4 linked regions of the Alligator mississippiensis genome follow. The protein of the gene in region 3 interacts with the protein of the main gene of each other region in a biochemical or structural test. Links are inferred from orthologs where the notes say so. Each region holds a gene or a part of one and is shown on either strand. Other genes may lie near its edges.

Region 1 (7,983 bases), on a different chromosome or scaffold from region 3:
GATCTACTGCATGATCTTAGGTGGCTTACTTAGCTTCTCTCTGTCTGCCAGAAAATTGGCCATGCTACTAACCTACCTAGCAATGAAGTTTGCAAAGCAGCCTGAGACCCTCAGAGACCACATGCCCTCCTCTAATTTACCCACATCACAAAATCCCTGCAATTGGCTCACTGGAGAGTTACAGTTCTCAGCGTACAGTACTGCTAGTCAGGGTGGAGGCGGCTGATCTTCTCTGTCACCGTGGACTTTGTTGTAGAGATGGTTATGATTAGGGGCAAATCTCGCCAGCCACCTTACCAACTTTGTCTCCTTGTGCTCAGTGTAGTCTTTGAAAGTATTTTCAGAGGGTGTGTATGTGAACGTGCGGAAAGTGGAGGGCTGATTAGGTACTGTGTGCTGAGTATCTGAGTACTAAAGTAGAAATACTCCCATGATAGAAATCTTCAAGGATAAAAATAGATTGTTCTTATACATGCTATGGAAAGTGTAGGCAGCTGGCATCAGTTACCATGCCATTTTGTTGCTATTGAACTGCAAGGTCATGTGTTTTACATGGGGAGGGCCGACCTCCATGGGACACAGGTGCTACAGGAACAGGGTTTCACTTGGTGGCACTCTTTCCTCTGAGTCAATAAAGTGGCTGGGCAACATCCTGGCTCCTAGATGAAATCTAATAATGCAGGTTTCCTGGGAGCTGTTAAAGAACCTGCAGATCCTTTTTCACAAGAGTACGAGTATTAACCCCCTTAGCCTCATCAGACTTAAACTTGGGTACCTCCCCATAATTTGCCCAACAGCTATAGTTTCATTTGGAAGAGGGTGTTTTTCATGTCTGGGTATGGAACACTGCAGGCTATAAAGCAGCCAATGTGTTCAAGACCCCAAGGGCTTGAACACATTCTTGTGCTCATGCATTGCACAAGAATTTTAACCCTTGTTCTACTTGGTCTCCCATTTAAATGATGTTTTGCTTTTGATTTAAACAGAAGTGGGATCCAGCCCAAAGCTAGTAGATCACCATAGGAATATGTAGCCCACAAGGAGCATTTTTCATCAGTACTTCTGAAAACATTGGACAAAGGTGGTCAGTGTTGCCATTATCCCCATTTCATAGCAGGAGAAGCTGAGGCACAGCAAGGTGAAATCATTTACCTAAAGTCATCAGGCAGCCTAGTGGCAGACATAGGAATAGAACCCAGGTGTCCTGAGACGCAAGCCAGTATTGTATCTGGTAAGCAACACTTTTAGGTGCGTTACGCCGAACACTGCTCTAAATGAAGCAACACTGCACAATGTTAGTAGGACTAAGAGATGGGAAGTGTGCTGTGAGCCTTAGGTCTGCTAGTTTCCTCTATTTGCACAGTAGGAGCAATCAAGCATGCTTGGCCAACAGGAGCGTAGTGAGAATCTTTGCAGAAATAGAGAGATGAAGCCTACTTCCAGTGTGTCAATAAATCCAAGAAAGTGGATGCTTTTTTTCTCTTTGCAGGGCTCCCTTATGCAGGGTATATTTGAGAATGCTGTGGTACATGCATGCCACTTTTATTTGCACAGGATCAGCTTCTTTGATGAAGTGTGTGTGCCAGAAACACAAGAAAGAGATGGTTTATAAATGCTAGAGGGGGGAAGGTTAGAATGGTAGCACAAAGGGCCCTGTACACCTAAAGATAAGCTTTAATGGGGAAAAGTCTTGATTTCATATACAAAGAAATCTACAGTTTTAAAAAGCTGCTTGTGTCCATTGAACTCTGGCCCAGAAGCACCCTGTTATGAATAATCAGACAAAGCAGCTGAATAAACAGGAGTAGCTCAAACACGGAGAAACATCAAGGTAAAAGGCAGGTGATGAGATTCACTTGAAGACTCTTGGTGGAATCAGAAGGAGAGTCCCCAGGTCTTGGAAGACAGGCAGTGAATCTCTCTTCACAGGCTGGGAAAGAAGCTAAAAGTTATTCATGAAAAGCAAGATATTTTAAGTTGTTTGTAAAACCACTGCACTATAGAGATGAATATGTGGGGCATATCCACCCATCAAGGCATGGCACATCCTGAAGCAGGTGAAATGTAGGCACCTTAGCGCAGTGCTGGGTGCATGTGCCTGGAAGCTTGCTCTTTTGAGGTGCTTTATTATTGTGGTGCTGGCATCTCTCAAGAGAGCAAGCTTGTTAGTGTAGGCCTAGCACTGCGGTTTCATCTGTTCCAGGGAGTCGCCTGTTTGAAAAATGCTCTTACGTGCTCCTTTGCTGTAGAGAGCCCCAAAGCATCACTATTGATGTCAGAGAACGTGTGCTGTTTCTGTCCCAGAGGAAATGTGGACTGCTTGGGACTTATACGTTCAGCTTTTATAGCTTTGAACGTGATCCTGAGCTACACACAAAATTCCCCTCCTTTATTTGAAGGATAAATAAAAAAATCACACTTCACCCTCAGTCGGTTCCATTAAACCACATTCCCTCTGCCTGCCAGTAAACACAGAGGGAGCACTACTTCTGCATCCTTAAATTGCATGTCAGTGCCAGTGGTAACTCAATTGAGTGAGGTAAGGAAAAAGAGCTGTAATGTCCCATCACTTCCCTTGCCCCAGAGCTGATAAAAGTGACCGAAAACCTACTAGATCAGTCTAGAGCAGGGGTGGGCAATTATTTTGGGCAGAGGGCCACTTACTGAGTTTTGGCAAGCCATCAAGGGCCGCATAACAGGCAGCTCAGGGCAGATAAATATTAATTTTCCAAAGTCTTGAGGCCCCGCAGGCTGGATAGTATGGCCTGGCAGGCTGCATCTGACCCCCGGGCCGCATTTTGCCCACCTCTGGTCTAGAGAGATGAGTATGTGGAGCATATCCCTTCTCAAAGGGAGGCAGATATCAACCCTGTGTGTCCTTGTGTCTTCCAAGTCCATGAAGCACCTCTGTGCATTTGGTACCTAGGCCACTGTAGTCTCACTGTAAGTTAATACATTTTTCAGGGAAACATATAGAGGGGAAGGTTTCTCCCCAGTGGCAAAACTCCATTTCACCTCACTGGGGCTGTCTGGTAAGCTCTCCTGTTTTTCCCTTCCAACCCTGAAAATTGTCGCAGAGGCTTCATGGACCGTGGATGTCACCCGATAACTCTGGATTCAAATGTTTGTCCAATGTAAGAACTTTCTGGGACAAAAAACTGAGATCTTTGTCCCTCCCCCCGGCTTAGATTTTTTTTTAATTCCAAGAGGGCATTTCCCTTGATGAGGAGGACCTGAGTAAGAAACAGGTAAAATTTTCAGGATTAAGGCAGTTGAAAAAGTAGAGTGGTCTCCAGGAGGATTCCCCTCCCATAGACAAGAGACCACTCTTTTATGATATTTTACCTTGCGCCTGAGAAGCGTCAGATAGAGCATAGGGCTGATGCCTTATTCAGGTCGTACTTGTCCAGGTCCAGCAGTGCAAAAGGAGGCATAAAGCTACTGCGCAGATGCAGCTTCCCAGCCTTTGTCATCAAGAAAATACCTTAATGGCATACAGCTAATGCAGGCAGAGGTGGACCCCTCTCAGCCTCCCTGCTCACTAAGCACCTGCTGCAAGGCCTGGTAGGCAATGCCTGCATGTGATTCTGGACCCAAGGACCAAACCTGTTCAGGGCTGTTCTAGATCAGTGCTTCTTCACCTATTTTGTACCAGGTCCCATTTGTAAACATTGATGGCTGCCCCTCCCCAGCCCCTAGTGTCTGGGGCAGGAGGTGGCTGTGGGGCAGGGTGTGTGTGTGGGGCATGGGGGGGCCCCAAGCAGCCCCTTGCAGATAGAAACTCTCCCAGCCTGCAAGGGAAAACCCAATTTCCCACATTTTTCTCCTTTAAAGTAGAACCCATTTTTAAAGTTTGCTGATCCTTTTTAAAGTTCATTCAAGACTCTTTCATATAGTCTTGCGACCCACTTTTGGGTTGCGACATGAACGACGTATTCAACAACAAATAGGTAGAGCCCTTTTCTCTCCAGCACCACCTTGGGTACTAAGGAACAATGGTCATAAGCTGATGGAGAATAGGTTTAGGTTAGAGATCAGAAGGCAATATTTTACAGTTAGGGTGGCCAAAATCTGGAACCAACTTCCCAGGGAAGTCGTCCTCCCCCCTACCTTGGGCAAATTCAAGAGGAGGTTGGACGATCACCTGTCTGGGGTCTCGTGAACCCAGCCTCCATTCCTGCCTGTGGCAGGGGGTCAGGCTAGATGATCTGTTCAGGTCCCTCCTGACCCTAGCTACTGTGAAACTATGTCCCCGGCGGCCGGTGTTGGGAGCATGGTGGCTATAGCCGGGAGCTCCCGCAGACACCGCTGGCGGGTGGGTGGGCTTTTTGCAGGGGGTGCACCGCCACACTCAGAGGGTGCACGTGCACCCGCATGCACCCCCTACACGTCGCCCCTGGGTTGAGAAACACTGCTGCAGATGGCACGGAGCGGAGCAACCTCCCAGCCGCTCTACTCTGCGCTACCCAGGGGACACGGTGCTACCGGGCAGGGACAGGGGTAGCCGCCTGCAGGCTCCTCCTGCCTCAGCTGCTGCTTTGTGTCAATTCATTGCACGGGGAAGCCTGCAATTTCCACCCTGCCAGGAGGCGCCAAGCAGCCGCTGCACAGGGAAGGGGCAGCTGCGTGGGGCGAAGGCCAGCTGTGATCTGGAGGGGCTGCACCCCGGGGCAGGTGTCTGTACCCCGGGACAAGCCAGGCGCGGCTCCCGGACACCGGCTGCTGCTTCCTGCGCACACAATAGTTGCAAGTCGGCGGAGGAGGCAGCGCCCCGGGCAGCGCGGCCTCCCCCCTCCACGTGCTCCCCGCATTCGAAACCCGCCCCCTTCCACCGCTCGGCTCCTATTGGCTGCCGCGCCGCCTCCTGGCACCTCAGTGAAGCAATGGCAGCGGGCTCCCCAACGTTCGGGGCGGGGCCAATTCCGCCCCCTTCACTCCGGCCGGTCGGCGCATGCGCGGTGGCGCGGACTCGCTGGGAGGGCGGAGGGAGGAGGCAGCGCGCGAGTCTGGTCCGGACACGGCGCCGCCGCCGCCCGCAGCAGCCCCGGCCCGGTGAGGAGGGCGCCGCGCCGCGCCGCGTGAGGGGCGGGAGTTGGGCAAAGTTGGGCTGGGTTTGGGGTCTTTAGTGTGAGGGGTGTTTAGGGTCACGTTGTGCTTGGTGTCAGGGGGTGTAGGGTCAAGGGGTTCCTGGGGTCAGGAGTCCAGGGGTGCTTGGGGTCGAGGGGGTTTAGGGTCAGGGAGTTCTTGGGGTCGAGGGGGTTTGGGGTCGCCCGGCTGGGGCGCAGCGGGTGCCCCCGTGTCCTGCTGCCCGGGCTCGGCCCCGTCCCCTGCAGCCCCCGGCTCGGCCGCGGCGCTGGGGGTGCTCGGCCGCCCCCCAGAAGATGCAGCTTCCTCCGACCGGAGAAGACGGGCGTTGCTCAACATCGGGATCTGGGGTCGAGCCCAGAAAGTCAGCGGGACCCGGCCGGGACCGTCTGGCCCAGGCGGTGCCTCTCCAGCAGGCGCTGCGGCCCCCGAACAGGGGCGGCTTGATTGCCTTTCGAGGGGGCTGCGGCGCAAGGGAGGTCTGGGGTGGGATCCCCCACTGTGAAAAACATCCTGCTCTGCTGGGGGCTTTCCCTGTTCTGGGCAGCAGGAAAACATCGCTCTTTTGTCTGTAGTTGAAAAAAAAAAGTGAGGAGAGCTGGCGTTTTCCTTGAGGTGTCTCGCTTCTAGCGAGGGGTGGCTCCGGTCTGGGAAGGGGGCCTCGAATGTGAAAAGGTTGCGAACCGCATCAGCATTCGGGTCCGGACAGGCCGCGGGGTTGTCGCGCGGGGTCGCTGCTCCCAGACGGGCTCCCCCTTCGCTTTTCCTCCAGGCTTGGCTGCAGCTGCTCAGAAGTAACTTTTTCTTTTGAGAGCGGTCTGAGGCGCTGTCGCAGCGAAAGTGCTGCTGCGCCCGAACTCTTAAGCCACCAGGGTTTATTAATCCACCTTTCTGTAGCCATGTTATCCCTGCAGGTCATACAAAGGAGTTGGGATTAGCAAGAGATCAGTGTTACTGACCTCTCTAATTGCTTCTTCTCCAGTGTCCTGCACGGCGTCTCCCTTATGCTTTTCTTCTTTACATTCAAGCCTTTGCAATGTTGTGGTTCTGCAGCGATGCCATCTGCTGTGGTATTGCATCCCTTTACTGAGGTGCAGGTATTGAGGTGGTAAACAGAATATAGATGCCGCGGTAAACCAATCGGTAGCATATGTTGCTTGCTTACAGTCTTAAAGGCAACCGTGAAACTCAAAATACATGCTGAGATATGTGATGCAGTAGAAATATGAGAGGCATGTCGTCTATAAACGAAGTCTGGACAGTTGTCCTGGGTTGCAGGCGTGCCTTTTGTGCTGTGGGTCCAGGATCACGTAATATAATCAGCTGCGATGGGACAAGAATGGTGTGGTTTCTGTTTACAATAACTACTGAAGCTTGAACTCGGTCCCTCTCCACATTCTTCTTGTTGTTTTGCACACACTGGCTTATTGTGGGCCTGTTAGGGTGAGTTAGGCTGAAGAGTCCTTTTGGAAGGTAATGATTTATTAATTTCGCGCTGGAGGACATGTCCCTTGATATTACTCCTATTCACACAGGGGCTGATGATCTTAACTCCGGTCAAGTTGTCGTGAGGGGGACACGATTTTCTTCCCTTCCTGGATGGGAACTTGACTCACAAGTTACTTGGTTGAGGTCATACAACCATTCTGCAGCAAAGAGGGGAGCTGAAACCAGGCAGGAGTTTCAGGGGATGCTGCTTAGGTACAGGACCATCTTTTTTGGTTGGATGCTCTGTTACAGAATGATTGTCCCAGAGGAAATGCTAGGCAAGCTTCTGGGTCCATGTGCCTGCAGGTAATCTTGATGCAACAAACTATGCAGTGTGTTTTTTGTGTAGCTGAAAACAGTTTTGTCGTATTGGTACTTTGCATACACAGCTTGGCAGCAACAAAAGATAGCCTGATCTTACGTACATGTGATTGGCCAACACCCACTTTTTTTTTGTGTGGCTGGTGATTTGGGGTACAGTACTATTTTGAGACACCTTTAAATCAGTGATTTTCAACTAAGGTGTTGCAACACCCTGTGGTGACACAAGATCCCTTTACGGGTACTGTGTGATGCTGCTTAATATTAGCATTGTTAGGTTTACAAACACCTATACACAATTCACCAGATAAACCCAGAGATTTCCAGTAGGAATCCATAGTATCAAAATCATTCTTACTTGTTGTGGTCTTTCCAGGTGTTTTACAGGTCAGAAAGGAGTTGAAAGGATTCCTCTAGTATTTTTCTGCAGTTGAAAAAGTACGAAAGCTAAGAATTGGTTGAGGAGTGCTTTTTCTGAGAAGCTCCTTGAGTCTAATGAGAGGTACCTTCTGTTTTAAAAAGTTTGAGAAATATTGCCTTGACAGCTGAGGGATGGTCCTGGGATTGGGACGTGTAAATTTAAATCCTGGCTCCATCAGAGGCTTCCTCTGTGATCCTGCGCTGATTATTTAGTCTTTGTCTCTTGTCTGTTTTGTAAACTGAAAATAATAGCATTTCCCTTCTTTGCAGAGGTAACTGCGTTGGGCTGAGAGGTGTTCTGGTACTATGGTGACGGGCATTAGAAGTACCTAGGCTTGGCTTTTCTTTAGGGTGTGAGATGAGTGTCACATTAGCTGACACATCCATTCACTGTTTTCTGATAGTAGCAGTAGTGGGGCTATGGCTAGAAACTTCACTAAAACTGCCAAATGAATCACTGCTGCAGGTTCCAGGGTTCTGTGTGCTGGTTTCCTTAGCCATCTCATCTTTTACTGTCTTCCATTTCTGGAGCATTGAAGGTCTTCTGCTGTTGTAGATGGGAGCTAAAAACAATATCCCTTCTTAATCTGGGGTGTTTCTTTACTTTGGGTTATTTCTGGTATGGGAGAACTGTGGAAATTGTGTTTTAGCAGATGATACAGTGAAACC
Region 2 (7,914 bases), on a different chromosome or scaffold from region 3:
GTACCTACCTTTCCCTGGAGAAAGAAGTATAACCTGCTCAGGTCCTTTTCTAGTGGGATCTACAGTGGGATTTATCTGCATCTTTAAGCACCTAAATCCCTTTAGATGCCTTTGAAAATCTGGCCCTAGGTCTTGTCTTTCTTTTTGAGTTTGAATAAACAAGAAGAGGAAGGTAAAGCCTGAGTTTGCTGCACAACCCAGCAAATTTCTCATGTTGACCTGGCTGAAATACTCCATTTAAGTTTTGTTAAAAAACACATTCACATTTATAACCAAAATAGTTAAAACTTTGAAAATACATATGCTTGTTTTTTTTAAATAATTATATACGTTTGTTGTTGAAGAACTATACCCAAAATGCATAAGTTTGTTGTTTTAGTTAACTAAAACAATGCACATGTCACCATTCAGGTTTCTGATGTGGCTGCAAAAGGGATCTGAAAAAAATATCCAAATAAATCACTCCTTTAAAATGTATAGCACGTACTTTCTAAAAATGAAGCCTACATCTATCTCCGAGTTGTGAATAATATGCATTTGGGTTATATCAAAGAACAAGAATGCACTTTTTTGTAGAAAATGATTAAATCGAGACTTCCTGACCAGTGAATGAAATCATGATTTAAATCATGGTTTAAATTGATTTGACTTAAAGCAAAGCCACCCTGGAAAGAAGCACACATGGAAAGTACTCCAAACTCCTATGTGAGTGCTTGAGAGGGATCCAAGACTGCCCTGCTGGGATTCAAACCGGTGGCCCCAGGGTCCCAGAGTCTGTCAAATTGGATGCTGACTGTATTTAGCCAGCTCCTATTTTGCTGTGAAGCTGTACTGCTTTGCTTGAAAATGTTCAGGCCTCCTCTCTGCTTCCCTAGTCAGCTCATTTCTGCTGTCTCTTAAAGTGCCCGAGCTTTCTTCCTTGCACGCTGCTCCCCTGCAGCGTACCCCAGCTCTCCCTTCTGGGCAGCAGAACAGGCTACAAGTCGTCCAAGTCTCTTTGCAAACCCACAGGCACCTCTTGCCAGGCAGAGACATCCAATAAGTGAAAGCATTTTCTTTTTCGTTGCTCACAGCGTAGCAGCAGCATTGTCATTGGGAAAGCTTTGCTTCCTAGATGCAGTGGCTGTGGCGATAGTGGCTCCTGGAGCTCCAGTTTGAACAGACACCGGCTTGTACCCTGGTCAAAGCCCGTTTAAGCATCACCTTGGTTAAGACTATTAATTGCCAGTGTTTTGCTGGCACTCGTTCTTATTGCTGCTCCCTGCGATGCTGAACCAGTGTTTATGCAACGCTGAGAGGGGCGAAGCAGAACGCTACTGTTGGCACAACGATCTCCATTGCCCAGAAAAAGGCTTCAACTTTGCACAGCCAGAGACCTTGTTACAGAATGATACCACCTGCCCTGCTCACAACTGTCTGGTCTTGCTTGCCCCGGGGAACATCGTCCTTTAACCCCTGCTGCCCGAGCTCCCCGAATTTACGCTGTTATGTTTATCCCCATTTTTCTTGCTGTTCGTAAAGGCTCCAAGACATCTGTTCCTTGACAGTAGTGGGGAATGAATTGCAAGTTTGCACCTTAAAGCATGCCACCTGTGAGAGCGACTCTCACTGCAATGACCCCTTACTTAGCACTGCAGGCTTTCTATGTTATTTAGGAGTGGGGGGCACAAGAACACATCACTTCCAAGCCCCTCCATAAATGCAGGCCATGCACCACATAGAGTCCAAAGCCACCCGTGCCTGGGTGCATGGTTTTATTAACACCGCAATGAACAGCAATCCAACATAAAGTCCCACTCCCAGGCTAGGTTGCTCAACCCCATGCCCTGTGCTCGCTTTCACTTCCAAACCGATAGGCTGCTCAAACTGCTGAATGACTTAGACCTTTGCATCAAATTTCCCCAGCATATGGCACGTCTAGCTTTGCCCATATTCACAAAGAAACGTGACCCTTAGACTCTTTTTATGCTATTAAGGCCTGATCGAATATACCCTTTTTACACAGAGCCATCTAAAGCAGAGGTGGTCCAGCTTTTCAGCAGCTTCTGGCAAAGATCAGTGCTTGTTGGCACAGTGCTACTAAGATCACAACCGGGAGATCCAGTTAATGGCTGCCAGCAACATTTTATTGTTTACGGCTGCTTTCATGACAGAGGGACGCTAAGTGTGATCTCTTCACAGTACGCTGTGGCATTTTTAGAGACATTGGTATCCCTATTTCTATATGACGGCCATGGGAGCTGAGTCAGAGAGCGTGCGATATATCCCAGACCATGCACAGATTAAGACGTTCACTTAGGTTAAGGTGTGAAGGAACCAAAAGGATCGTCGGATCTGCCCTCCTGCATAATGCACAGCAGGAATCCCCCCCAACCAATTCTGTATCAAGCCCATGATTTCTGTTTGAGCTAGAAGAGAGGTGCTCAACCTTTTGGCCCCACAGGCCAGATGAGTGGCGCAGTGCTGGTCCATGGGCTGGATCGAGCCCCACAGGGCCTCGGTTGTCATATGCACGGCGGGATAGGGCCCTGGGGTCTGGTGCTGACCCTGTGCACTGGGATAGGCACCCCCCCTCGTGAACTGGGACCAGGCCCTGGTGGTCCATGCTGCGCCTCCGCGCAAGAGCACAGGGGCACAGTATCATAGAAAAGTTGGGCTGGCAGGGACCTCCAGAGGCCACCTAGTCCAACCCCTGCCTGAGGGAGGCTCATAAACCATCCCGTACAACCATAATCTAAACCAAATAAAATCCCTTAGCTAGCCGAACCTCACCTGCGGGCCATATTTTACCTACCCTGATCTGAACTACATAAGATGACCCTTAACTATTCCACTACACCACTCCTTCCCTGCCACCAAATGTTGGGTTTGTGGAGAGCCCCCGAGGCTGGATGACACCGCACCAGGAGCCGGATCTAGCCTACGGGCTGGGGGCTGAGCACCCCTGAGCTGTAACGTGTCTAAAAGGAGACCGAGCTAGATTTCGAATCCAGGACATACATGCCAGGGCTGTGACCTCCAGCTTGTGCTCAGACCACATTTTTCCCTCTACATTTTCAACATAGCATAATTTTCCTCTCATCTTGAAAGCCTTTGAAAGGTAAAGATGGTTTTGTTGCCCTGGATGTTACCGGTATAAGGGGACATTACTTAATGGAAACAAACTGGCCTGAAGCTAAAAAAAGTAAAATCAACAAACCAACATTACTGCGGTTTAACTCTTAGGTGGTGCTTTACATCCCCTGAACTCAAAAGCACTTGACAGAGGAGTGGGATCTCTACCTTTTTTTCCTACAGAGGAAACTAAAGCAGAGAGAAGTGACTTGCCCGAGGTCAGGCAAGGCAAACCTCGCAGCAGGACCCTGATCTGAGCACTGTTCTGGCGTGATAAGACAGCGAGCCAGGCTGCCTTTTCAGCATAAAACACCACAATCCCCACAGGGCCGTTGTTGGTCGTGATTGTTATTACTATTAAAATGTATTCCAGTCTCAGTCCAAATCCAAGAGCCGATTAAATCCCCAAGCCAAATGAGCAAAGCTCAGTAACGATGTCTATACATATTCACGGATCTTCAACCAGGCCAGGATCCTACATGCAAGTGCCAGACCTACAGGCCTGGGAGCTCAGGGCCCGTTATACTGGATCTTAGACAAAAGGCTAAGCAGCAATCCTCACGTGCCTTTCTCCCTGTGGAAGTCCTTTATAGATGACGGTCGTCGTGTCGCTGCTGTTTCAATACACTCAGTGCCAGGGGGAAATGCCGCCATCCTGTCCCAGTGCAACTTATCACCGCTGGCGGGTTACGAGAGGAAAAGGGAGTGTGCATCCTTCTGCAGTACAGGGCCTGGCCACACCGAGTACTGGCTTGCTGAACATGGATTTTCCTTTGAGGTTTCCCCTACTCCTCCCACGGAGCGTGCCGAGAGCGGGGACGAGAGAGAGACGCTGCAATCCTGACTTCCCCGAGCAGCAGCTTGCAGGCACGCGCAGCCTAACGCTTTGCGCGACGTGCCGAGACGTTGCTGAGCGCTCCTGCAGTAGGGACCAGCTCCGTGTCAGGACCAGAGGGTGACTTGACCGGGTGCGTAGCTCAGTGGTTTTGAACCAGGACGCCTCGAGATCCTTTCCAGCGGGCCGGGGAAAGCCGCGCGATGTCAGCACTGTCACGCGCGTGCAAACCCGATTCATAGGCTTTGCTCTTCTCAGGCAGGAAGAAGTTAAAAGCCAGTTTGAAAACCTATCCGCAAACTGGACAGCGTTCGGTACGGTTTGAGCAGGGCCGACAGAGCCTGGATTTGCTTGTGTGACCCTCCCGTACCCCCCTCTACAGTTACAGTGTTATACGGCTCGCAAGTGTTACAGATACTTGTAACTCTACAGGTCACAGTGTTATAATTGTTACAAACACCTGGAGAGTTACAATACAGGTTACAAGTATTATACAGTTAACCCCGCAATGCATTCAGACCGCCTAACGTTGCCCACGCAAAGTACCGATCGCGCCAGAAAAAGGTGCATCCAGAGCTGGAAAGCGTGCGATAAAAAGGCACGCCTTTCATTCCTGTGTCCACCACCGCAGGTTGCATCCTTACGCCAACCCTCCTGCGGCCCCCGCTGGGGCGTAGATCAAGGGCAAGGTGGGGGTGGGCAAAGGGAGGACATGGAGCACCCCCTTCTCCTGGTAAATGGGGTCGTCTTGCAATCGAGTAAGTGACATTTGCCCTCGCGGGGGGCTGCTGGGGGGGGGGGATGGGGGCACTCCCACCCCGCCAGGAGACGGGCAGTGCGGGGCGCATGCGCACACACTCCCCTCCCCCCCACCCCCAGCTCAGCGGGGGCGGGCCCGAGTCTCGCGCGAGGCGGCGTTCTCGCGAGAGGGGCGGGGCGAGTGGAACCTTGTGCCGCGGGCGAATGTCTCAGAGTTCGGCGGGGCTCGGCCGGGCGGCACGTGGGCACGGAGCGGGGGCGGGGCGCGGCGCGGCGCGGCACGGCACGGGGGAAGAGCACCGCACGGACCGTGAGTACCGCCGCCGGGGCAGGGTTGCGCCGTTTCCCCTCCCCGCTGGCGCTGGGGGCGGTCAAGGTCACGGTCACCCCCCCACACCCATCCCCGTTGCTTTGGCTGCGGGTGCATGAGCTAAGTGAGCCCCCTTGCCCACCCTCTGGGGGGATGGGGCTCCTCCTGGCCCCCCAGACCCGCAGCAAGGCGTGGGGATCCCCCTCCCCAGACTCCCCAAGAAAGGAGCGGGCCCAGGGGTCCCTGGTAGATGCTCAGCCCAGGCAGCGGCGCCGCGTGAGCGCCGCCTCCACGACCGCGTGCGAACGGCTCCTTCGTGGAGGAAACCCTACGCCTGGGCTACAGGCGCCCTTTCGGCGGTGATGCAACCCCACCGAACGCCGGGGCTGCGCGAGTAAAGACTCGCCCGTGTTTGCACGGCGCGGGCAGGACGGCACCCTCTGGGCGCCGACAGGCTGCAAATTAGCTAGCGCCTCTCACGTCCTTGCACCACCTCTGCCTCCCTCGAAGGCTGGCGTAATGCTGGAGGATGTGCAAAGCCGGCTCGGCAACACTCGAGCGGCTTGGCTGCCCGGGGGGAGTTGTTTCGTTCGAGTTGCAAGTTGAACTTCTGTCGGCGGGAGGTAGAGACGCGCGCCGGCTCCGAGTTGAGGGCGTACGATGAGGGGTCTGCGAGATGTGTCCTAAGGGCCTGTCTTTTCGTGGGTGCTTTGCTATCCGATATCCTAAATCACATGTTTCTCTGCTGGCCACGTGTTCAGGAAGACCGCAGGGTGCGAGAGTGATGGCAGCACTGACTTTTCAACGCTGCAAGGGCCAGCCTGGTTTGTTTGGAAGGCGTTGGGCTTGCTGATGTCTGGCCGGTGTTATCAAAAGGCCTGTGGACTTTGCTTCTGGGGAAAGGAAAGGACCTGTTGCTGGGGAAAGTGATAGGAAAAGAGGCTAACTTCACGTCTCCTGTTTGTTTTGTGTCTGTGAATCATCTACTCTGAGCCCTAGCCGCAGGAGCCGGGCGGTGAAATGGGAAGGAGAGAGCATGTGACCTGCTGGAGCATGGTACAGCTGCTCCATGAAGCAGCGTGCCTTGTCCTCTGCGGAGAAGGCGTCTGAGCAGCGCAGGGCTTGGGAGTGGTGATAGCCGCTTGGCTGCTGTGTGACCTTGAGCAAGTCGCTTGCTCTTTGTCCCCTAGCTGAGCCATTTGCATAATGGGCGAAATACCTGTTGGGGCAGCTGCTACACCTCTGCTCTTGGTGCTTTTCAGTCGGTGAACTTAAAGCACTTCAAAGTATTTTTACTTTTTTTTAATGTTACAAGCTCCTCGGGCTCGCATGCAAATTGCCGAAGCGTGGTTGTAATTGCATAACTGACTTGCATTTCGGTACCAACCCAGTGCAAAATTCAGAGCGGGTCCGAAAGATCAAACCCCAGTCTCAGTTCTTTGCTGACTGAACCGCAGTCACGAGCCCCTCCGCTCCTTGCTGTGTATCGAGACTTCCTATCCTGACACCAAAATGCCGGCTCCCCCCTGCTTCCATTTCTGCTGTGGCGTTGCTGAGTGCATTCTTTGCAGTGCTTGTGAAAATCCTCGTGCACCTTTAGTGCTCGCGGGAAGAGCTGGCTCGATGGCCCCGCAGGCTGGGATCTGTCGTCTCCGGTGTGGATAGGAGCAGAGCATGCTGCCTTCTAACCTCTCGGCGTCACCAAGGTTGTAAAGCCACCTCAGTCTCCTGATCGTGTCTGCTCCAGCTGCCAGCGTGCTGGCCGGTTGGCTTGTAAGCTTTTGATCCAGACCTTGTAGCTCGCAGCATGCTCATTCGGCACCTAGCACAACAGGGCTGCGGCCTACCAGTACCGCACACGATCTGGCTGTTGCTCTAGCCAAGACTGGAGTTCAGCTGTGCTGGGTGCTTTGCAAACACCTAGGAAGCATTTTATTTGGGGTTACGGCCCGAGCCCAGCCTCTTTTCTTTAATGTTTTAAGGATTTAAGCTGTGTGTAGGGTGGTGGAGGGAAGTTCAGATGCACGGACTGTAGTGGAGCATAATTGTTTTATTGGTACTAAGTGATGTCCGCGTAGGATTTTACAGGGATACCGATGTTGCAGAATACTTTCAACTCTAGCCCTGTTTTATTCTAGGTTACAGTTGCAGTGATTTGATTTGATTTGTTTTAAGCTCTGTTGTATGGCTGCAAATGCAACAGTTTTATTATCTTAGCTAGTGTGCCCTCTTCTTAAAGCGGTTACGAGTTATTTCTGCTCATAGCCTGAGTGTGAATCTTTGAGAAGTGCTCAAGGCCTCATTGAAATTTGTAGGATTTGGGCACCACAGTGCCTTTTTGGGTCTGACCTTACGACTCGAAGTCACTGAAGTGCTTGAATCCCTTTTGAGAAGGGGGAGTTGGGGGGAAGGTTACCTTCAAGGAGGTCCTTTGAAAGCAGGTACCGCTTAATGGCAGGATTTCTGTGAGAGGAACACAAATGTTGTTTAATGCCACAGCCCTATTTATCTGCAGCTTTCATCCTCCCGGTGCCCTTCCCTGCTGTAAGCCATACACTTATTCGGGTAATTTTGCTGTCTGTGAAGCTCTTGAATAAGCAGATGTGTGTTGCCCTTTGAAATGCTCTTTTCAATCGATAGAAGTAATGAAACACTTAGATGGCTAACAGGGACTCCTTGATTTCCTATTTAAAAACTGATGTCAATGATGAGCTTTTCTCTGTCTTTATATACATACAACCAAGTATCTTGTCAGGAAGCAACTGGTCATTTGAGGTGCCTTTTAAAAAAAACCTAGACACTTTGAGGGCGAGTGCTTGCTATTTCTAAGGAGTTGAAGCGTAATTTTAGGTAATGCATCCAGAATCTGCTCTGCCCCAAAACTGCGAGCTGTCTG
Region 3 (7,689 bases):
TTACTGGGATGCAGACACTTCCAGTGAGCTGAGAGGCACCAAATCAAATCTGACAAAGGTACAGGTGCTGTATATAACTTTGGGGCTGCTGTGCTCTGACTATTGCTGATAGCATTATCCAAAGTAACTGATTTAACTGTATGTATTTACTTGCTTTTGAAGTCTGAATGGTTAAACTGATTATTTTCCAAGTAAAAGGCAACATAGATTATTTTGCTACTTGCCTTGTAACCTTGCTTCTCTTATTGGAAGCCTGAGTAATGCATCTCAATAACAAATGTCAGAAAGAGCAAGTCGGTGAGTTGGGAAAAGAAGAGAGAGATGTTAAAGTGTGGGGGTCTGAAATTAGGAACAAGATGGAAGAAAGTGTATTCAGGTATTAAAAAGACCTCAGAAATATTGCTGTAGAAAAATGTTTGACTAGGGGAACCATAGACAACAGCTGAAATAATTACACAACTCTGCATTATCTCATTGTGCTATTCAGTGCACAATGAGATCATGTGCAAAGATACCTTTAAATACCTCCTTGCATGTAATAGAGGCAAAATTAAGATTGCAAGGGTATTTGCCAACTTCTTGGTTCTTGATTTTTCAGCTTTGGCATCCTCTCTCACCATATGGATTCTTCTAATGACAAAAATCTAATATAAACTAAGAGAGGTTATTTAAGCTTTAAAAATTTGCAGAGTGGGCAGTACTACTTGACCATGGACAAGTCTCTTGTGCAAGCTTGCTATCAGTCCCACATCCACAAATAAAAAAAAAGTACAATGAAATGAAATAAACTATGGAATAAAATGTGTTTCATGTGGCCTTGATGCTCACCGCTTTGTCCACTGACCTTCAGACAGAAGCTAAACGGACCTAATGTTTATGTGCTAGTCTCCTTTACAGAATGTTCTCTGTCTGAGGCTGAGTTGCTTTGTATGGACACTTGAACAGTCAGAAGGCTAACACAACATAGCTTTTCAGAACCTTAACAATATTTACCGGCAGCACATTTTTCATATAAATAACCAGATTTATATACACAGGGACAAATGAGTTATAATTATCAACAAACATTCAGAGCTAGTACAAGAGCTGACTAGTGCCAACAGCAGGGGATAGCCAGGTGGCTGGCTGCTGTGCAAGAGACTTGGAAAGAGAAAAAATGTTACTCCCTTGGAACAGCAGATTCCTTTTCTTTCTCTGCTCTTATCCGCCAATGTTCCTTCCTCTCTCAGTGTGTCCAATTCTCCTCATCCAACCTTCTTAATAGTAGCACTCCTGGCACATAAGTGTCAAAGGACAGAGAGTCTCATTGAAAAACCTCATGTACTTTGTGTAATTTTGCAGGGAACCCAAAGCAGCCTCTTGTTCTTCTTACTCAAGGCCACTTGCCTTGAACCCTTATATTAGCAGTGTAGGTATAGTTACTAGGCTGGTGCAATATGTTCTGGTATCAGTGAGGAGAGATGATGGGATATGGCAAAGATATGCCAGAAAAGTATTCTGCTGCTGGTTGGTGCCATAAAGGGTGTAGTGAAACAGTTGCTCTCAGATTTCTGAGATTTGTTACATCTTATTTTTTAATTAATTATATTTAATATTTGTACAAAAAACCCTTACCTTACACCAAATTATGGAAGAAGCATTATAAAAATAAATTTTGTAACAGAAACACTAGGTGCAGTATAAATACCAGCAGATTTCTAATTAGCTTCTCTCTCATTCAATGGAAAAGAAAACCAGCAAAAACTGTTAATATGGAGATCTGGTGTCCTCACTTGTGCTTTTTGCACAACTCTAATGATAAGTAAAATGCATTTAGCTGCATGGGGATGGGTTAAGAGCCATCTGGATGAGACGGGACCTATTCGCAGGAGGAGCAAACAAAAGCTAATACACATCATAAATAGCTTTGGATAACACTGAATTTGTGTGAAGCTCATAATTCAAACACTTGTTGATTTCTGTTCCCTACTATTGTTGAAGCAAAATCAGAACAAAATTAAAGTATTTACATTGACATCACTCAACCTGCTCTCCTTCTTAGTCATAGGTGAACAGGCCAATTTTCTTCCCATACTGTAACTCCTCAATACGCTCAAGTTATAAGGGAAGACAAGTGCCGCACCTTGCAGAGGGTAGTCACTGGTTGAATGTCTGCCAGGCCTTTAGTGTGCATATAAATAGATAACAGTGCTACGTGTGTATGCCTTGCACAAAGAACAGAAATAAGAATTCTGTAACTCAGAGAATAGAGCATTTAAGGAAGGAGACATTTAAGGCAAAGTAAGGGCTTTATCAGAGGCCACATAGTAAGTAATTGGCAGATATAAGACAAAGCATCAAAACCCACTGGCTCCCAAAATTATGCTCATTCATCTAGATCAGAGATGTCAAACTCATCTGGGGCGCTGGGCTGGATCCAGACCACGGGGTTCTTTGCAGATCGGATCCAGCCTGGGGCAGGAGAGCTGCCATAGTGGCAGTGAGAGGTTTGGCGGTGGCAGCAGATTCAGGAGCGCAAGTCCAGGGGCAGGGGTGGTACGCCAAGCTCACCGCTGACAGCCACCCCAGCAGGGACAGAGGGCTCTAGATTCTGCAGTAGGCTCTGCCCCCTAACTTCCAGTGGCCAGCCAGTAGCCCAGTGGGCCAGACGGAAGATCCACAGGCCAGATCTGGCCCACAAGCTGTATGTTTGACACCCTGATGTAAATCAATGTTTCTCAGTTGACTGGATCCAACAGGTAATCAGGGGGGTCACAAGGTATTGAAAGTATATTGCTGTCTACTGTAAGGAAAATGATAGTCCACAATTCCCTGTATACCAATTCCCCTCAAGGTCAAGTAGTCAGTCAGCACAGCCTTTTCAGACATTTTGGAGACCTTTTCAAACATGTCATACAGGTTAGCATATTGTTATAGATAAGCTAATAATAAGAACAACAAAATGTAAGGGAATTATGATTTTTTTTTTTTACCTTCATGCGAAGATTTGGATACCCGAAACAATCCAAAAACACTGAATTGGATCAGTTGATTTAGCCTTTTTTTCCATTTGCGGACCTCTACAAAAATTTTGAATGGAGGTGTGAACCCCTTTGAGTTGTAAGTGTGAGTACTCACATACTTTGGTTGATTATAATAGTCTTTCACAGACCCCTTATATATAGGTCTGCAGACCTCGAGGGGTCTGTGGACCACCGGTTGAAAACTGTAGATGTAGAAGCCTCTCAGCCTCTACTCTACCCGAGGTGCCTACAATATCTTAAAATAAGTTTGAGTTTCCATCAGTAATATTCTGTTTGCTAGTGTATAAAGGGGTCAGCTTTATTCCATGTTCCAAAATACTACTACTACTATTACTAAAAAGATCATTAATGACAGCCAAAAATATTTCTAGATATACAGTTGCAGAATACATTTCTAAATCATTCCAATTGCTCTTTAGAAATATTTGTAGCCTTTAATCAGGATGGATGGAATAACGCAACATATATTTGGCCAAGAATCTCTCTGTTGCGACTTCACTTCAGTACAGTTATATCATAAGTGGACGGGCACAATCCATTCCTGGTTATATTGCTATTGGAATACTTCTATGAGATCTGAATGCTAGGATCAACCTCACTGCACCTGCCAAGTCTTCTGCCCCACGTTGTTCAAAAGTTAAAGGCCGAGTGTGTTGTCACCAGCGCACCGACAACACGCAGGTTGCCATTGCTGACTTCAGTTGAAGAGGGATTCACTTATTTCTGAAGTGCTGTGCAAAGGCCTTCCACAAGGGCAGACTCACGTTTACGTTTCTACCAAATGTCACACTGGGTTTTGCAAACAGCACAGTGCCTTCGCTGCCGTCAAGAGGAATGGTACTGTAGTGGAGCTCAATTCATCTACAACCCCCACATTCACAACCTGCCGGATGTTTTCAGTGAAGGGATAAGAAACGAAGACGACTCACTATTTAAGAAATCAGCATTAGGCTTCAGAATCGGCACCGGCTGTTCTGCGCGGGGTCTGAACCGCCTCTGGCCAAAGCCATTCTGCTGCCTCCAGCACCTGAGGGTCTCACTTGTCCAAAGCTTTCCTTTTAACTGTCAAGGCTCATTTAAAAAAAATGAAACAGCAGGGTGCAGTTGGAATAAGCCAGCGGGCCCACAAGCACGGGCCATGTGCACCCACAGCCGCACGGTCGAGGACATGGACACGCTGCCTCGACACCTCCAGAAGCAGGTGGCAGTGGCCGTTTTAGAGGCAAGGAAGCAAGCTGCAGTGCCTCCAGCCACAGCAGGACACTGGCAGGCGGAGCACTGCAGGCAGCATAGACATACTAGCACCAAGGAACATGCGCAGAACTGAAGGGGCCCAGCTGGGCCCGGGGCCGCGAGGAAACTTAACAGACCACCCTCATCAACCACCAACCACGCGACCAGTTCCCGCGCTTTTAGCCGCAGCCCTGTGCAGGCGCACTGGCCGCCTCATGCCCCGCCCCTTTCCCCACACCGAAATGCGCATGCGCTCTGCTCCCCCTCCCTCCCAGCTCGCCGCGCCCCTAGGCTCTTCTCGCACTGTGACGCATGCGCACGACCAGCCCTGTCATTCCACCCAGCTCGGCCGCATGCGCGGCCCCGCCCCTTCCCGGGCCCCGCCCCCTGCGGCCCGCGGAGCATGCGCCTCGCGCCCCTCCCCCCGGCGCGGCTCGCGTGACGGCGGCGGCGGCGGGAGTCAGTCGGCGCGAGGAGGGAGGCCGAGCCCGCGCCCGCGCCCGCGCCCAGCCAGCCGCAGGGGGAGAGGCGGCCCGGCCCGGCCCGGCTCCGCTCCACCATGAGCATCGAGATCCCGCCGGGCCTGACCGAGCTGCTGCAGGGCTACACGGTGGAAGTGCTGCGGCACCGGCCGCCCGACCTGCTCGGCTTCGCCGCCGACTACTTCAGCCGCCTGAGGGATGCCCGCGACCAGCAGCAGGCCGCGGCCGCCGGCCGCAAGGGCGTCAACTTCGACGGGGAGCCCATGCAGACCGAGTCCAACGGCGAGGGCGAGCCCGAGCGCGGCGCCGACTCCGACTCCGACGACTCCGACTTCGAGCGTAAGGGCCGGGAGGGGGAGGGGGCGGGTGCGGGAGCCCCTCGCCGCCGGCCCGGCCCGGCCCGGCTTCCATCGAGCCCCGTGCTACCCCGGCCGGCGGCTGTGGCCGGCGCGAGCGCGGGGCCGGGCAGTGTCGCGCTGCGCTGCGCTGCGCTGGTCGGGGCGCTCGGCTGTCCCCTCTCCCCGCAACTGCCCCGACTCGCGGAGCCCAGCGAGACCTGGCGGGCCGGGCCCGGCCCACGCGTCTCACCGGTGGAGCGACGGGCCTGTCCCCCTCACCTCTCCGGTGTCATGCTCCCTGTCCACCGGCCGGGACCTGCTGGTCGACCCTCCCGGCCGGGAAGGAGGTGGTGGCCGGGGGGCCCCTGGGGACCGCGGGGCTGCTTTCCTCGCTCTGCTTTGCTCCCGGCTCCGAGCGGAGAATCGCTGGGCAGCGTCTGCTGGCTCCTGGCGCTCGTTCGAGGGCCAGCGGGCGCTGTCCGGTGTGCTCTGCCCCGTGCCCCCCCCTCCCCCGGCGCTCTGGTAACGAACCTCTGACCCCCCTTCCTGTCCCCGTTCTCACGATTGTGTGTCCCAAGCATTCAGTAACACGGCACTAGTGGCCCCCAGTACTGCAGGGTGTTTATAGTTTCCTTGGCGGGCCGGGGCCCATTTTTCCTCCGATGTGTTAAAAGCCCTGTCCCGTGGCGGCCGAGTGGAGGCTGCAAGGGAGAGCGACCTGGGTCTGACCAGGGTCTCGCTTGCAGCCTCCAGCGTTTACAGTGGAGGAAGTTCTGGTTCAGTGGCCGTGCCCTTCCCTTGGTGCTCCATAGTGACCAGTGCCCCTGTCCTCCAAGCGCGTGTCCGATCCCAGTTTGAACGTGGCTGAACTGGGAGTTCGCAGCGGGTGGCAGCGAGTGCCACGCTTCAATGACACGCTGCGTGAAAGAGAACTTGGTCCCAGAGCCGTAGAGGAGTGGGGCTGGAAGCGACCTCCAGAGGTCATGTAGTCCTTCTGCCTGCGGCAGGATCTGTCCAAACCATGGTCTGAACTCTGTGCGAGACTACTGTCAACCCTGACACCACACGCCTAACAGCCTCGTTTGTTTTACCAGCCACAGGAGAGGTATGGCAGCCAACATCCTGCTGCTGTGAAATGTTGTCAGTATCATCTCAAGAGGTCCCGGGTAGCCTTTCCTGTTGCTAGCTTCAGGTGAAGCTGGGGCGGCTCCTGCTATTTGTTTCCTAGCGTTCTTTGCTACCCCCCCTTTACTTTTGTTGCTCTCCTTTGGCTTGTGTTGTCCACGGCGTTAGAAGTGGCACTGTTGAGGGCTCAGTCCTGCACCATTATCACTAGGAAATGAGCAGGGGGAGAGGGGGTTGGGTCTGGTGTTGGGAGCTTCAGCTCGCTGGTTCTTCCTGGAAGAAAAGAAAGCGAAGGTGTGGGGAGTGGCCCAGGGACAGCCAGAATGGTTGTTAGGGCACGACTTGAGGTATCGAAACATGAAATGCACGTCATGCTATGTATGCGGCTGGAAGGGTCTCATGCTGCTGTGCAGTTTGTGCAGTCCTGAGCCGCAATGTGGTCATTCAAGAATAGTTATAAACCCAACACTTAGTTTTTCTTTGAGAATGATCTGGGTGCTTGATGGTTTTGCTGTGCAGTTTGGTTGCAGTAACCCACTATTACAAAAATGTGCTGAAACAACTTCCTTATTTTTATCCTTAAAGGGCAGACATTCTGAACATTTCATATCTTTTTCCCCATTTACATTGATGCTGTATGTGGGGGAGAGGTGGTAAACACTTAGCTGCTCCTTAACACTGGAACTGATACCCTTATAGTTTTATTTTTGTTCTGCAGTGATGTGTAGTGCTTTGTTTGGGTTGGAAAATGCAATGTTTAAAAAGGTTTTTGTTGAGCTTCAAAGAAAACCAAAATGCTTTCAGAGCTTTTTGAATAGCACTTTTTAATAAAATCAGAGATTGAAATATAAACTATTTGATACTTAATGTTATTCTTAATCTTGAGTTAACTAAAAAAAAAAAGGGAGAAAAAAAGCATTTTCTGGATATTTATGCCTTTAAAAAGTAATACACTCTCCACTCCCACTCATTGCAATGTTCAGTTGCCTTGCTTTGAGGTCATATCTCTTTGACATACAATGTGAGTAAAGGTTTATGGCTCTCTTAATGATATTGTGAGAGTGCTTTTATACCAGTTATTAAGTGTCATCTCTGGATGCAATTTGTTTTTGCACTATGTTCTAGCTCTTTCAGATGTTAATGAAACAGCAGCATATTAAACTTCAGGACAGGCTTTGAAATAGCCACTTAGGGCAATGTTTAGAGACTATCATGGTCCTCTTAGGATAGCCACTGTAAAAACAAAGACAGACAAAGTTCTTCTTTGAGAAATGTATAGTTAAGACAGGGAATTGGGAGGGAAAGCATTTAATGTGGCATGATGGCTTGCAAGTGTTGTGAGTTCTGGCTTTTTGAATGTTGAATTTTAATTTTTTAATATTTTGTGGAGTAGGATATTCTGTTTTGGGACAATAGAAAAATAAAGTGACAGCAGACATTGAAGAAGAGGGAGGAGAATTGAGTGAATGAGGTTAAAGTAGTGACCAG
Region 4 (7,322 bases), on a different chromosome or scaffold from region 3:
AGGCGGGGAGCAGAAAGCAAGAAGCAGAAAACATAGCAGCAGATTAGGTAAGGGAAAGTAATTGGAGTGGCACTCAAGGGAAAGGAGGAGGGTGCTAATTTGTGGTACACTTGCCAAAAAGGTTGGTCCCCACTGATACAGAATATAAGTGGTCATAGGTAGTAATTGGAAGTCAACTCTGGGGAAAAACCAAAGGAATAAATGAGGTTAGACATGTGCAGTAGGCACATGTACCAACAGACACAAAACTACACTGTAGGTATTGCTGATAGTGCTACCTATACTTCAGGTTACCCAAAACTTTCCTTTGTAAAACATTTTTTGGGGTTTTTTTGAGTGCCTACAGTTTTGCAAGATTTTATGAGCTGAAATTTTCCAGGCTTGGTGTCACCCTCAGGCTGAAATTTTTTTGAACAGTTTCAGCAAAAATAGTTTGGACACTTCCAGGAATGAGCGAGAGAAGAAAAACTGATGTTTTTTGTTTCTGTTTTTAAAACAGTCATACAGCTGCTTCATTTAGAAGCTCTTGCACTTCCACAGTGTGGGGAAGGGACTTGAAATACAATGGAGGGGTCAGCAACCTGTGAGCCATAGACTGGATCTGGCCCACAGAGCCAAGGGGGGACTTCAATGGCATTCCAGCAGCTGGATGATTTACCCTGGCACTGCAGCCAGGCAACATGGAGCTTCATTTGACATCTTGCCAGGCACTGGAGAAGTGGGGGTGATGGCAGTGGCCAGGTCCTAGCACTGTCTCAGCTTGGACCCAAGCAGTCATTCCAGCCTGCCTTTACAAACAGTTGCCAACCACTGCAGTAGAGTATTGACCTGGTATAAAGGAATATGTATGTGCCTTTGGCGGTTTCCCTGACAATTTATTCAAAATCATCAGATAATAAATCTTTGAGGATTCTCAGTTCAGACATGCTCAGCAGAGATTTACTAAGAGTTTGGTGCTAAATTAACCAAAGATTCCATCCATGCTGGTCATGCTTTAGCACATAGCTGCAGGACTTTCCATGCAACTGCTCCTCTTCATTGTTATGGGACTGATCACCACAACTCGGAGCAGGGAGACAATCTGTCCTTTGCTATCAGTGCCCCCGGCACTGGTCCTAGCACTTTGGAGAAACGTGAATTGCTGGAATTCAGAGGGAATGGAAGCCAAACCTTCACATGTGAAAAGGCAGAGGGAGGAACTGGAGGAACAGTGGGAATAGAATAGAATAGTAGTGCTCAACCTCTGGTCCTGGAAGCCACAGTAATTCATCATCATCATTGTTTCCCCAGTCCAAATTTTACATGTGGTCTGCGCTCTCTCTTCTGCACAGGCCACTGCTGCTGATTTTGGTATTCCCAAATGTTGTGGGGTGCCTTGTGGTGCTATAGGGCATCTCAGAAGATGATCCATGGCTTGCTTCTGACAAATGCGTTGGTCGGTTGTATAGATGTTGTACGCACAGGGCGTACAATGTGAATTAAAAACAAGCGGGAATCTTATCGGGGGATAAGGCACAATGCCACATTTATTGAAAACATAAGACAAATAAAAGAAATGAAAAAAAACAACATAAAGATACTGTTTCCTCTTCATACACTGACACATACATATCCATTTATTCACATACATACAAAAGGAGATGGACAGGCAGTCCTGCAAATATCAAGATATTACCAGTTCTTAAGATGCTTGGGTTAGCTTGGCCAGCTAAGTTAACCATGAGAATAAAGCCAGGTCTTGTTGGACGCGTTCTGATGCTGATGCTGCTTCTGTGCAGGACAGACCCAAAGCCTCTTTGTTCTTGTCCATCTTTATAGTGATTGTTCCCCATACAAGTCTATGGGTCCTACTGCATCATCTCCTCACTCTCGAAATGATCCTCCTCTTTGATTACAATATTATGATTGACAGACTCTTCTGTCTCTGTAGTCTACAATTTTTTTTTATCTGTTGTCAGCAATTTTTTCAGCCATTGGAACAAAACCATTAGCTTGTATTTTGTAATTCTTAACTGTTGATCTTGGACATTGTTGTAACCTTTGGTTGTTAAATCGCAGAAGGCTATTTCTATCCTTCTAGCTACAGGTGCAAGACAGACTGTCTTAACATATGCATTTCCACATGTACTGTTTATTCTTTCATTACTTCTTTTCAAATATCCCAGACATACCACAGGCCTTGCATACACACCACTTCTCTGATACTATATTTAACCTACACAACCACAAAACAAAATGACTGTTACACTTACACTAAGCAATGTAAAAATCAAAATGGAGTCTCAACTAAGACTAAGTTACAGTTATTTGAGCAAACTAAAATGGATATTGGTTATAAAATAATAATAAAGAATATTATAAAGGCAATATCAAGAGTACATAAAGACAAATTAACTTTAGCTCAACATAGAGGCCCCGTGATCTCATAAGAGATTTGCATTGGCCAAGACCCACTGTCAGTCTGTTTAGGCTCCACCATGTGTGCCATTTGTAATTGGAGCCAGATGCTAACTCCTCGCTGGGGATAATTCCTTGCCAGCTCCATTCAACAGTTTATTGCCTCATTTCTCCCATTCATTTTGCCAGAGGGTAGTTCACAGCAATTAATACTACCCCCACCACCACATTTCCGGATCTGTGGGGAGACTTATGGGCTGGATGATGCAGTCCTGCACACTGGATCATGCTGGTACATGAAGTCGTACCTGCTGTCTGACTCTACATGCCAACTCCGTGCTAGATCTAGTTCATTGTTGGATTCCACCTGCAGGATCTGACCCATGGGTTAGCTCTGCACCCCTTATCCAGACCACAGAGGGATTGAGCAACACTGGATTAGAACAAGGAGCCACTGGCAACATTAGAGGAGATTAGACTGAAAAGCCAACAGTGGGAGCCCATGGGCTTTGTAATAGAGCTTTGGGAGGCAGGGTAGTGGGGAGAAATAGCTCAGTCGGAACAAGGTATAAGAGAATTGCCCTCAACGGTGTAAGGAGAATGATTCAAGGATCAATGAAGCTCACTAGCATTGTGACCTAAGCATGGGGGTAAAGATTAGGACTTGGACAAGACCTGACTGGGAGACTTGGACTTGAAGGGCGGGTTAGAGGCAGGACTGGGAGCAGGGCAGGCTGGTTTGGCTCTATAGAAACTCAAGGGAACTGAAGATTCCTGAATATAGGCATGCCTTTGCCAGTGGCATGTATGTCTGAAACTTGGTGGTTTCCAGCCACTCTTTTGTCCTGGTACACCAAGTGGGTGACAGCCTACTACTGCTGCCAGTTCTCTGTCAGCTAATGTGAAAGTCGTCTATACCAGCATTTCTCAAGCCATGGGTTGTGACCCAAAAATGGGTCGCAAGAATATATGAAAGGGTCGTTAACAAACTTTAAAAATAGATTGTCCTTTAAAGGAGAAAAACGTGGGAAACGGTGGCTTTTCTCTTGCAGACTGTCAGTGTTCCAGCCCTCATGGAGCTGCTTGGGGCCTCCATGCCCAACACACTGCGGGGGCTGGGGCCTGGAGGAAGGGGCAGAGGGTTGGGAGTGGGGAGCACTGAGTCAGGATTGGCCATTGATGTTTACAAACGGGTCCTGGCAAAAAACAAAAGGTTTAGAACCATTGGTCTATATGAGTATTTGAAGTCTCCCTGCTGATGAGCTAGTTGTGTGATGATGAATACACATTCTTTCTCTCTCGCTCTCTTTCTGCATTAAAATGTTGCAAGTCAAGCCCTCAAAAATGAGGAAATGCCAGAATTAAGACTGCATCTGTGATCCCCATTGTGGGTATACATTGTGGTGTGGTCTTTAATTACATAATGATATACTTCCATTTCTGATTGCTTGGCTTTGCAACCTTGACACTCCTTTAATGTAGCACTTCAGTATGTAAGAAGTATGAGCAATCTGTGGGCTCCGTTTTCCTTCCCCTCTGAAGTATCCTCCTGGAGAGCCACCACTTTAGTGACTCTTTGTATGTGCTGTATTATTATAGTTGCAAACTATTGTGCTGTAGTCTGAATGCACAACTGTGTATTGTTCCCCTCTAGTCCCCTGAGCTATGTCCTTTTCTCTGGCCAAATCAGTTTAGTTTTTCAGCTTCCAGTGTGAAACTCTTTGACCTCTGCTGAAATCCCTGTGCTCCCCCTACCCCTGTTTTTCTAGAGTTCCTCATTAAGGACATGCTGCAGTACAGCCCTCTCCCTCCTCTACTGCATTCATGCAGGTTCTGATTACTATGCATGCTACTGATGTCAACTCCTGTTGTGACCCAGCACTCCATAGGAGGAGCAAATGAGCTGAGATGTCAAGCCAAAAAATTATAGCCATGAGAGCTATCCCTGCACTCAGCTGCTTTCAGAGCACATACATGGCTTGTGTGACAGCAACAGCACACAGAAGCAGCAATGAAATGCAGTTAGCTGTACAGCTGGAAGACAAGCAGGCAGGCACTGGTCCAGTGCCTAAAATGATCCTACCGTGAGCCAGTCTGCAGTGCCTCCAGAAGTGCTTGACTACTACACAGGAACACAGCTTTCTTTGCAGATACTCTGTGGCGTGTAACTCAGTTTCCCTTGGTGACTGCAGTGTGTATTTTCTCTCTTTCCCTGTGTCCTTTTCTCCAGGATGGCGGAGGCAGAATTGCACAAGGAAAGGCTGCAAGCCATAGCAGTAAGTCAGCTTCATTTTACTTGCTCTTTTGTCTGTGAATGGGAAGCTGTGAGTTACTGAAGGGTCCAGGAATTCCAGCACAGTAGCTGGGCAGTATTTAGGCAGCATGGCTTTAGAGAAGTTTTGCATAGAGGTTTTTTGTTGGTTTTTTTCCCCCTCTTCAGGAAACTAATGGTTAAAGATGTTCTATGTGATTTTTGCCAGTAATGAGAGTTCTGATGGGAGTGTGTTTAGCTGACGTGTGAAAAATGTGAGTGCAGGATGGCACATGATTAAAAAGGAGAAATACCTGGGGAGGGGGAGATGGGAGCTCATCAGCATTCTGCTAAAAAGGTATTAAGGTACCATGCGAGCTTTAGCTAAACAGATTAAGAAGTTAAACAAGAAGGATCAACCTTAGGGTGGCTTTTTGTATAAAGAAAATCTTTCTTATTTTGCTTTAAAAAAAAAAAAAATCAAAACAGTGGGTTATCACTAATCACCAGACTAGCTGATTTGCCAGTTTGAGACAGCAACCTCCATTGCTTATCTTAATACCACCCAATGCTTTGAGCCAAATCTTCAGATGATATACATCCATTGAAGGAATCGGGGTGGGGCAGGGGGTAAAAAAGTGTTGCATTTTGATCGGCATTCATCAAAACTTTATTTTTTTCCCCCCTGTGTTTAAAACCTGACATATACAAAGCTAGAATCTCAGCTGATGCAAATGGCAGGGCTCCTTTTGACTTCAATGGAGCTATGGCCAATGAGACCAGTGAAAGGATCTGATACAAGTCTTTCAAAAATGTAGCTGTGCTGCCAATAGAAAATAGAACTGCTCTTTAATTAGGAGTGCAAGTGACATCAGAATCCCCACATTGCTACAAGCATTGTTTATTCACTGAACCCACATAGGTTTGTCCTTGTTCCTTATGACATTCAGTTTTTGGGGTTGTTTTTTTTCACCTGGTTGACAAGCTAACACCGCAAAGCCTTGTAGTCAGACAGCACAATATGTGCAAGTGACTGTGTGTCTCAGGTCTGAAGTGAAAAGTCAGAAAAAATGCCAAAGCCTGCTTGGATTTTGGGAGTCCCTTCCAGAGTGTTGTCAATGATCAACAGATGTTGTGTTTTACTACAGCTGCCACAGATGGATTATATATTTCCTTTGTAGGCGGGGCAAGAGAATGGCTGCTGCTTCTGCTATACTAAGTTGTTTTTCTTAGGTCTATTAATCTACTAATATGTCCATACATACTTAAAATAACTGGACATAAACTTTTGTCTTTTAAAAGTTTTCCTGGAAAAGATCATGTGTGGGGAAAAGGTTATTATGGTTTAAAGGTAAACAGCTGAAATGTTTTTAAAACACTGGTCCAAAGTTTCCAACAGGTATAAACATTAAGAATTCCCCCGCCCAAAGTGCAAGCAGTAGTGCCTGAAGCCATTAAAGAACTAATCCTTCCTAGCAAATTTGGCTTTGAGGCTTTGGATCCTGAATGTGAAGGGTGAATGTTGCATACCCACAAAAGATATAGCGGTCATGTGTGAGGATTTTGAAAATGACTTTATCTTCATATAAAAAACTGTAGAATATAATTCTGATGCCTCATTCAGACCCTGAATAACTAATGGTAAACCAAATTTCTGTGCTCTGAATATATTCTGTATTGCAAGAGCGAGCTGAAGAATGGCACTATCTCAACAAACTTTTCCATTGTCTGGCACTTGTCATAGTTATTCATAATCAGGAAACCAGAGGGGATGCAAAAATCATTACCCTATATTTTTTTTTCATTACCCACTGGCATAAATAACTCTCACATGTGAAGAATAGTAGGCAACTTGGATCCTTATATTCTGTACAGGCTACATCACAGATTGTGCTGAGTGCTGCTGTTAAGGATTAACATAACCTGTGAATTACAAAGGTTTGAAATAATTCAACTTGAACCTCAAAAAAATACTCAATTTCTGTCTTGTTTGAGTTCATATTGTATCACACACTAAAAGTTGCTCAAAGGATCTTCATATCAGTACAATTATCCATACAAACTTTTGGGGAACATTTGTTCCTCTATTTAAATATTTTAAACGTAATCATGGTTGGCTATTCTCAAATGTTAGATTGATTCACCAGGATAGGTTAATGGTGTGAAATGCAAGGTATTCCTCCTGTGTCTCCTGTCTGAAAGTATCCTATATAATTAGCAGGCTCAGCAAAACTTAAATCGTTTCTCAGAAAAAGAGAGGAGGCATTGCAGTTAAGGTCCATCTGGAAAAGTCAGGGAAAAATATTAGTCATTTCCAGTGTCTGACTCAAGCAAGCAAAGATCTATTAATCCACCTTATAATTTAGGCTGGTTGAATGGAGCAAGAAAGTAAACAATCCAGCTTTGCACAGTTATTTAGTTTTCTAACTAAGTTCACTTGGTCGCTTGTATTTTCTTATGCAGACATTTCCAGTAAAGGTCAGGTGTATCATATTAAAAGAAAGCAATGGTCATATTTGCAGTTGTGGAGAATTCCTGCCAGAAGTGTGAGAGGGCTTCTGTCAGTCAAACTGTTGTGGTTTTAAAATTACAATCAACTTCTTAAAAATGGGTGTCTGTGGTGCCAGTCCTGTGCAGACTCCAGTCCTGCACAGGGCCAGGAATGCCACTAGGA

What was found.
Region 1: the proteins of PRKAR2A (region 3) and AKAP13 form a complex in vitro, tested with the Homo sapiens proteins (3 studies listed by BioGRID, with this or other methods). The link is inferred for Alligator mississippiensis from reciprocal best matches to the Homo sapiens genes PRKAR2A and AKAP13.
Region 2: the proteins of PRKAR2A (region 3) and AKAP1 form a complex in vitro, tested with the Homo sapiens proteins (2 studies listed by BioGRID, with this or other methods). The link is inferred for Alligator mississippiensis from reciprocal best matches to the Homo sapiens genes PRKAR2A and AKAP1.
Region 4: the proteins of PRKAR2A (region 3) and PALM2AKAP2 form a complex in vitro, tested with the Homo sapiens proteins (2 studies listed by BioGRID, with this or other methods). The link is inferred for Alligator mississippiensis from reciprocal best matches to the Homo sapiens genes PRKAR2A and PALM2AKAP2.

Annotation. Positions count from the first base shown.
Region 1 is NC_081834.1:12,429,454-12,437,436, forward strand, and holds the start of AKAP13 (A-kinase anchor protein 13), read left to right. Parts: upstream 1-4,971; 5' UTR 4,972-5,052; intron 5,053-7,983. UniProt on the Homo sapiens protein: Scaffold protein that plays an important role in assembling signaling complexes downstream of several types of G protein-coupled receptors.
Region 2 is NC_081837.1:6,728,513-6,736,426, reverse strand, and holds the start of AKAP1 (A-kinase anchor protein 1, mitochondrial), read left to right. Parts: upstream 1-4,914; 5' UTR 4,915-5,018; intron 5,019-7,914.
Region 3 is NC_081835.1:755,598-763,286, forward strand, and holds the start of PRKAR2A (cAMP-dependent protein kinase type II-alpha regulatory subunit), read left to right. Parts: upstream 1-4,689; 5' UTR 4,690-4,815; coding exon 4,816-5,077; intron 5,078-7,689. UniProt on the Homo sapiens protein: Regulatory subunit of the cAMP-dependent protein kinases involved in cAMP signaling in cells. Type II regulatory chains mediate membrane association by binding to anchoring proteins, including the MAP2 kinase.
Region 4 is NC_081826.1:163,833,614-163,840,935, forward strand, and holds the start of PALM2AKAP2 (A-kinase anchor protein 2), read left to right. Parts: upstream 1-4,305; 5' UTR 4,306-4,628; coding exon 4,629-4,673; intron 4,674-7,322. UniProt on the Homo sapiens protein: Binds to regulatory subunit (RII) of protein kinase A. May be involved in establishing polarity in signaling systems or in integrating PKA-RII isoforms with downstream effectors to capture, amplify and focus diffuse, trans-cellular signals carried by cAMP.